Linked DNA regions of Canis lupus familiaris. The protein of the gene in region 2 interacts with the protein of the main gene of each other region in a pairwise test. Links are inferred from orthologs where the notes say so. Each region holds a gene or a part of one and is shown on either strand. Other genes may lie near its edges.

What was found. The genes of interacting proteins can lie anywhere in the genome.
Region 1: the proteins of XRN1 (region 2) and ZFP36 interact in a two-hybrid assay, tested with the Homo sapiens proteins (2 studies listed by BioGRID). The link is inferred for Canis lupus familiaris from reciprocal best matches to the Homo sapiens genes XRN1 and ZFP36.

Annotation. Positions count from the first base shown.
Region 1 is NC_049222.1:114,602,877-114,606,856, forward strand, and holds ZFP36 (mRNA decay activator protein ZFP36), read right to left. Parts: upstream 2,715-3,980; 5' UTR 2,617-2,714; coding exon 2,578-2,616; intron 1,828-2,577; coding exon 874-1,827; 3' UTR 577-873; downstream 1-576. UniProt on the Homo sapiens protein: Zinc-finger RNA-binding protein that destabilizes several cytoplasmic AU-rich element (ARE)-containing mRNA transcripts by promoting their poly(A) tail removal or deadenylation, and hence provide a mechanism for attenuating protein synthesis.
Region 2 is NC_049244.1:38,642,616-38,646,259, forward strand, and holds part of XRN1 (5'-3' exoribonuclease 1), read right to left. Parts: intron 3,493-3,644; coding exon 3,425-3,492; intron 3,135-3,424; coding exon 2,997-3,134; intron 1,272-2,996; coding exon 1,205-1,271; intron 1,000-1,204; coding exon 894-999; intron 1-893. UniProt on the Homo sapiens protein: Major 5'-3' exoribonuclease involved in mRNA decay. Required for the 5'-3'-processing of the G4 tetraplex-containing DNA and RNA substrates. The kinetic of hydrolysis is faster for G4 RNA tetraplex than for G4 DNA tetraplex and monomeric RNA tetraplex.

The DNA of each region.
Region 1 (3,980 bases), on a different chromosome or scaffold from region 2:
GGCCCGGTGACGTCACTTCCTGCCAGGTAAGCGCCGCGGGCGGCCCGGCCTGCGGGGAGGAGGGGGGCGGAGGGGCGGCCGGCGGACCCTACCCTCTCCCGCTTCTAAACACTCCCCGCCCCTCTCGACCGCTTCTGGACCGCAGAGGACTCCGGGATTGCAGTTTACACACAGATTCCTTTTATTTAAAAATTCCAAAAACCACAAAAATAAACTTTTAACAATATATTACTTAATATATTATTATAGCATACTTATAACAATAATTATTCCATCGTTTCCAATATTACAAAAAGGAGGAAGAAAAATACAAGGGAAGCAGACGACCCAATATATATAAATACTATAAAATCCATTAGAATAAATAAAGTCGTCATAAATAAAGAGCCCAATGGCTGGGGGGGGGAATTGGGGGTGGGGGTGTTTGGCAATGGCTTTGGCTACTTGCTTTTGGAGGGAAATTCGAGCACCAGGATTCCCCCTCGGGGGAGGCTCCAGTCACCACCAGACTCTGGAACCTCAGGGTCTAGGAGAAATTGGGAGGGGGCAGTGGGAGCCTATTATTCACAGCATTGGGAAAGGGAGGGGTGGGTAGAGGGCTCACTGCCTTCCTCAAATCTGCTACATACTTTTTTTTTTTTTTTACAAGACCCAGAAAACTCCCCACCCCAACACCATGAACACAGATCTTGCACACTGGGGACCTGCCCCAGCGTGGGGTCAGGGGAGTGGGTTAATGCACTTTGGAAGGTAGGGGGAGGCTACTTGATTGAGTCCCCCGAGTTCCCCACAGCCCCGGGGCCCCTGTGGAACCCACAGCAAAAGAGAAATGGCCCCCTTGAATCCAGCTGATCTGTACTGGGCAGGCACTTGTCACTCAGAAACAGAGATGCGGTTGAAGATGGGGAGTCGCCGGGGGGCTGCAGGTGGCTGGGGTGTCCCAAAAATCCCAGCCTCGAAGACAGGCGAGTCGGATCCCCCTAGGCTGCTGCCGCTGCTGGCATATTCTTCAGGATCAGATCCCAGGGACTGTGCAGAGGGGCTCCGAGCCAGGCCACCCAAGGGCCCCCAGACGCTACTGGGGGTAGCCCTTCGGCAGGAGGGGCAACAGACTGTGGTGGGGTCCCTTCGGGCCACCGGGGTCCCAGGGGCAGCAGAGAAGGCAGAGGGTGAAAGTGGAAGGTCCCCAGGTGGCGGTGGTGGGGAGCTGGAGGGAGAGAAGGAGCAGGAGGACAGGGAAGGGCCTGCCAGGCCTGCTGGTGGTGGTGACGGTCGGCGGCCGGAGGGCAGGCCCGAGAAGCTGATGCTCTGGCGCAGCACATGAGGGTGGCCCGGGGCAGCCAGATCTTCGCTGGGGTTGTGGATGAAGTGGCAGCGTGAGCCGTAGGGGCAGCCGCCCTGGAGGTAGAACTTGTGGCAGAGTTCGGTCTTGTACTTGGGGTGGCGGCTGGCCTGGCGCAGCTCGCCCAGCCCGTGGGCAAACTGGCACTTAGCCCCGTAGCGGCAGCGCCCACTCTCGGAGAAGGTCCGACACAGCTCGGTCTTGTACCGAGATGAGGTGGTGGGAGTCGCAGTAGGTGAGGTGGGTGAAGGCGACAGTTCAGGGCCTGGGCGGGGAGCCAGGGGTGCGAAACCCGGGGGTGGTGGCACCCAGCCACAGCTTGGACTCTCCACCAGGCTGGTGGAGCGGCCAGGCAGGCGGCCACTGATCCCAACCCGGCTCCTCTCGGGTGAGCTGGGGCTCCAGAGCCCGGAGGGGGGCCAGCCTGGGATGGACTCCGTGTCTCCGTGGTCAGATGGCATGTCAGGGCTCAGCGACAGGAGGCTCTGTGGGAACAAGGATCGGTTAAGAAACCGAAAATGCTGGGTGACGCCCCACCCCAGCTGCAGGGCACCTAAGAGCTTGCCAGTCCGGTTCGTGGGCTCCCAGCCTGAGCCCCACCTGCCCACATTAAAATATGGGTGCCGGATGGCAGGGATCCCGATTTGGAAGTTCAGAATTTTTTCCTCCCCGCGACAGAAGTGTCTCCCGAGGGAACCAGAGTCCCCGGCTCTCCAGGCCGGATCAAAACAAGACCCCAGAGTCCGACAACACCACTGTCCTCCCAATTTCGAGCCTCTGGGCCCCCGGGGAGCTGACCCCTCGCATCGGGTTCTCCAGTTTCACAACTGGGGAAGCAGGCAAAGTTAGCCGCGGAGTCGGGAAGCCGTCGGACTTGAGAGTCCCCAGAGCTCCTGCTGGCCCGAGGGCCGGAGGGTCAGGAGTCGGCCCCCCCTCACCCCGAGACTCCGCGCCCAGCGCCGCCTCCGCGCCAAACCGCGCCCTCAGCAACCACTGGGGGTTAGGCCAGGTGTGGGGCCATTTCCGCCTCCAGACAGCCCTGGACTCCGACGAGTCCCCCGGCCTCCCGACCCCCGAGGGCCGCCCCACGAAAGTCGCGGGCTCTGTTTTCACCTCCTGAGAACCGCGCGGGTGTGGGAAGGGCGGCAGGGCCCCGGGCCGGGCCGGAGCTGTGGGCACTGGCGCTCGTCGCCCTAGCGGGGGGGGCGGGCCCGGGGGTCGCCGGCGGGGCTCACCTTGTAGATGGCGGAGAGGTCCATGGTGGCGCGATCCATGGCGGCGCGAGCGGCCGAGGGGTGAGGAGTCGGCCGGGAGGGCGAGCGCTGAAGTCAGGCTGCGGTCGGCCGGCCGAGCCCGGGCTTTTATAGAGGCGGGCGAGGGGGGGCGGGCCGGGTGGGTGGGGCCAGAAGGGGCGCTTCCCGGACGCGCGCCCCCAGCAAGGCCCGCCCGGCCCCCGGCCAGGACGCACCGGAGCCCGGCCCCGCGGGCGGTCGCAAGCGGGGAGTGCCCCGGGCCGGGGGGAGGGGGGGCAGGGGGCAGGGGGGACAGCGGGGTGTCGGCCCAGTTTCCAAGGCTGGAGAGAGCGAGGCGCGGAGAAGCGAACTGGGCCGTGGTGGGGGCAGGGCTCCCCGGGGAATCGACACGGGCCGAGGCCAAGAGGGCGTGCGCGGGACGACGGCCGGGGGCGGGGAGAGGAGAGAGCCGGGAACGCAGCCGGGGAGAGAACCGCGCAGGGACGCGGCCGTGGCGGGAGAGCCGCGCGCGCCCCGGAGGCAGGGAGAGGCGGGGAAGTTGGGAGACGGAAAAGACAAGTTAGAGACAGTCCCAGAGGGACAAACTCAAAAGAGGGGGAAGCGAGAGGGAGGGTCGCGTAAACTGAAAAAGCGGGGAGATGAACCGGGGGAAGCAAACACCGACAGGCCAGAAATCCCGTAGGAGCAACACGGAAGGGCGACCCAGGCCAGGTGGGGGATTTCGCTCAAACAGCCCAGGTCGGGAGGCCTTGGTCACCAGCCCCCTGGCCCTCGAGACTCGCGGGGGCGGGGGACCCCGGATCCCTGGCGAGGCAGGAAGGGGGCCCCTCGAGCTCACGCAGCAGATGGCCCCTCTGATCGGTACCCGCCCCCCAGCTCTGCTGCGTGAAAGTACTTTACGGCCATCCACTCAAGGACGCATTGTGCCCATTTTACACACGAGGAGACCCAGGCCGAGTTACTGTTGTCGAACCTGTTAGTAAAAGTTCGCCCTCTGAGAAAACTCAAGATTGGAAAGGGCGGTGTGTGTGTGTGTGTGTGTGTGTGTGTGTGTGTGTGTGTGTGTCTTTTATTGTGGACGAGGGTTTGCCTCCGATGGAAAGTCTTTTGGAGGTGGAAGGAACGGGTCCCCCCCCCCCCCACCAACTGGTGGTCGCACGGGCGTCTTTTGGAGGGGTTTGCCTTGAGAGAACTGCCAGTCTGCGGGGGTGACTCCCCACACTGGCAAGGCCGCTGTGGTCGAGGGGGTGCCCTGCGTGACACTCTGTTACAAAGGCCTGGGGAGAAAGTTCACTTTTAAAGGGGCTCTCGGTGGGCTGGGTGCCCGGAGTGCAAAAACATGGGGGCTGAAGTCGTTGCCACGGGGTGCGGCTCTACCCGGGCGG
Region 2 (3,644 bases):
TTTGGACTAGATATGAACCTGAGGCTTAGCCAGGTAGCCTTTAGGATAAGTTTGATGTGAGTCCAGAAAATGGAAAACAAACAAACAAAAATAACCATTTTCTACTTGCCAACTTTTTATCACAGGAATCTAACACGTCTGTTAACATTACCTTCTTCAAAACCATAGCAGTTGAAAGGCTGACATTATGATAAATAAAATCTAATTTTTTAGGGGAATCCCTGGGTCGCTCAGTGATTTAGCGCCTGCCTTTGGCCCAGGGCGTGGTCCTGGAGTCCCCAGATGGAGTCCTGCATTGGGCTATCTGCATGGAGCTTTCTTCTCCCTCGGCCTGTGTCTCTGCTCTCTCTCTCTCTCTCTCTGTGTCTCTCATGAATAAAAAAATAAAATCTTAAAAAAAAATCTAACTTTTTAGATTTTAAAATTAGATTTAAATCTAATTTTAGGGGATCCCTGGGTGGCTCAGCAGTTTAGTGCCTGCCTTCGGCCCAGGGTGTGGTCCTGGAGTCCCAGGATCGAGTCCCACATCGGGCTCCCTGGATGGAGTCTGCTTCTCCCTCTGCCTGTGTCTCTGCTTCTCTCTCTGTCTCTGTCTCTCATGAATAAATAAATAAAATCTTAAAAAAAAAAAATCTAATTTTAGATTTAAATCTAAAAAATCTATTTTTTTCTATTTTAAAGTAAAAGCAGAATGCCTGGGTAGCTCAGCAGTTAAGCGTCTGTCTTCGGCTCAGGGCATGATCCTGGAGTCCCAGAATTGAGTCCCACATCAGGCTCCCTTCATGGAGCCTGCTTCTCTTCTCTGCCTATGTCTCTGCCTCTCTCTGTCTCTCATGAATAAATAAACAAAATCTTTAAAAATAAAAAAGTTAAAGCATTGGTTAAAAACGTACTCAGATACTACATCAACTCCCATCTTCGTCATGTAGTATGTTCTTTTATATTGTCTAAACTCAGTTTCAAACAGGTCATCATCTTCAGTCTCATCTTCTAAATTATCTGGAAAAAAGGTCAGAAAGTGGCTGACAATTACAAATATTTTGTTTTTCCACCTATCTCTTTGATAAATACATATCAAAGCAGATGCTTATAAACTAACACAGAAATCTGTTCCATCTAATATTATTAAATCAGTGCTTACTAAGGAAAGATACAATGACTATTCTGTCAAAAAAATAACACAACGAATAGAGTTTGTACTCACCCTTAGAAGTTACCACTTCTTCTCCATTTTTGTCTAAAGCAGCCCAACATATGGCATTTTCCTGGCCCTACAAAAATTATAAATCAATATAAAATTAATGCAAAGATACATTTCAAAGTAAGACATTGAACTGGGATATTTAAAAAATACTACAAAGGACTGAATGATCCTTAAGTGACAACACTGTAAAAGTTCATTCAAAAAATAATCCTCAAGTACTGTATAAATGTTTTCGGTTTTGTAGCACTTCTTTTCTAAATCTTTATTATGCAGAACTTAACATTTAGGCTGCTCTAAAATATGTAATAGGTATTTCTCATCTATTGTGTTAATATAATCTATTTGTTCATGATTGAATCCAAAGGTTACAAACATTACATGTTTTCTATTCTCTACTTCTAAATTTTTTCTCTCATGCAATGCATTTGCTTTTCTATATTTATCCCATCTCATCACATTCTTTATATCCTGCCCATCTGCTTTTCCTCCCTTGTGATCTCAACTTTTCTTTCCTCTATTTTCTGATTGCCTATCTATCGACAGTGACTTAGTTCTTCCTACTCCCTTATCCCCATTTCCCTTTGTTCATCCAAACTAGGGTCTTTGCTAACTTCCTGTGCTTCGGCTCTTCCTCTAGTTTCCCTCATTTTGCCAGTATCTCTAACAGTAACTACATATGCCTGAAGACTTGTGAAGCTTAAGGACTGGGCTAAGACGGGTGGAGCCAGGGATTACTGATGTGTAAGTTTTGTGAGTAAAGTATAGATTCCTAAAAAGTTGCTGAGCCTGTTTCTATAAGAGAAAAAACAAAGAAGAATGTAGACGGACTGCTCCTTAGTTTCACTGAGAAAAACTAATCAATTAGAAGGACTACTCTAATGAAAATCAGCATAAATGCCCTTCATGGAGCAAGAGTTACTAGCTTTGAACCTAAAAAGAACCAATATAGCAAGGAGAGTATAGAAAATTCCTCAATTTTATCTGAACCCAATAATTACAAATAAGCTGAGGAAAATTTCAGAAAAGGTCTATTTCCCAAGTTAACACATACAAGACATTCTTTAGAGCTCATTAGTGATATTTCGTAGGGTACTAGCATATTCTGATTCTACTATTTATTTATTGAGCACCTAGCATTTATTAGCTATTGTGCTATTACTTACTCTTAAACTAGCCTATAGCTGTATTTCATAAATGACTTTATATATAAATTATTATTTTTTAAAGATTTTATTTATTTATGGGAGACAGAGAAAGAGAGAGAGAGAGAGAGAGAGAGAAGCAGAGACACAGGCAGAGGGAAAAACAGGCTCCATGCAGGGAGCCCGACGTGTAAGTCGATCCCGGACTCCAGGATCATGCCCTGGGCTGAAGGCAGCACTAAACCACTGAGCCACCCGGGGTGCCTTATATAAATTATTTCTGAAGAAAAACCACAGGTCTAATTGCTATCTCAATATTAAATGTTAGAAGTAGACATATTTTACAAAAGATAATTAATTTTCTAGGTTCTTATATTTAGAAGATTTTCTACACTTATTAATAGGATGAAAACACAATGCTTTTCTTCTAGGATAAAAATAAGAAGCTGATTTTTAAAAATCAGCTTTAAGTAACAGGATCTAACAGAGAAGAAACAAAAAAAATTTTTTTCAAATGTTCAATAGAAGAAAATAAGAAATGAAAATGAAATGAGGCAACTCCAAAAATCACAAGAGGGAAATGAGGAACAAGGAATATCAGTTTCACTTTACAGCTAGAAAAATGAAAGAACACCTAAAAAAATGGACACCTTTGACTTCTTCTTTTCCTTGTAGTTCCTGGCTTCTTCTGCTGCTACACCTGCTGCTTCATTGAGGTACTTGTTACCAACTTTGCTTTCAAACCACTTTAGGTCCACAAAAACTTCACTGAAGTGTTCCCGATCAAACTGTACAAAAATATTTAAATTCATTAAAAATAATTTAAGTATGTCTGGAAGAATAGAAACCAAACTTTTAACAGTTGCTACTTCTAGGGCATAAGAAATCAAAGAATGTTACTCTCTTATGGGCTGAAAATCAAAAATAAAAAGCAAATAAAAATAAAAGTAATTTAGGTGAAATTATACAGAAGGATCAGTTGATGTAAAAGTACCAAAACTTTTTCTTCTGATATAATTGGTTTCTGCCCATTTATAGCTACCCTGGGACAAGAAAATAAAAATATCTAGTTACTTACGTCTGATAGTTTCACAAGGTATTTCTCAAATCGAGGTAAGTTGAGATGCCCACTTTCATTAATATAACCTAAAAGGAACAAAATCTAAATTTGTACTAAAAGCTGACACTATTTTTTCTAAACAGTTCTACAAAATTCTTTTTTACAAAATATTGAATGTTGGTACTCTAATAATCAAGAAAAAACAATCAGTGTTGGGCTTTATAATTGGCTCTAGTTT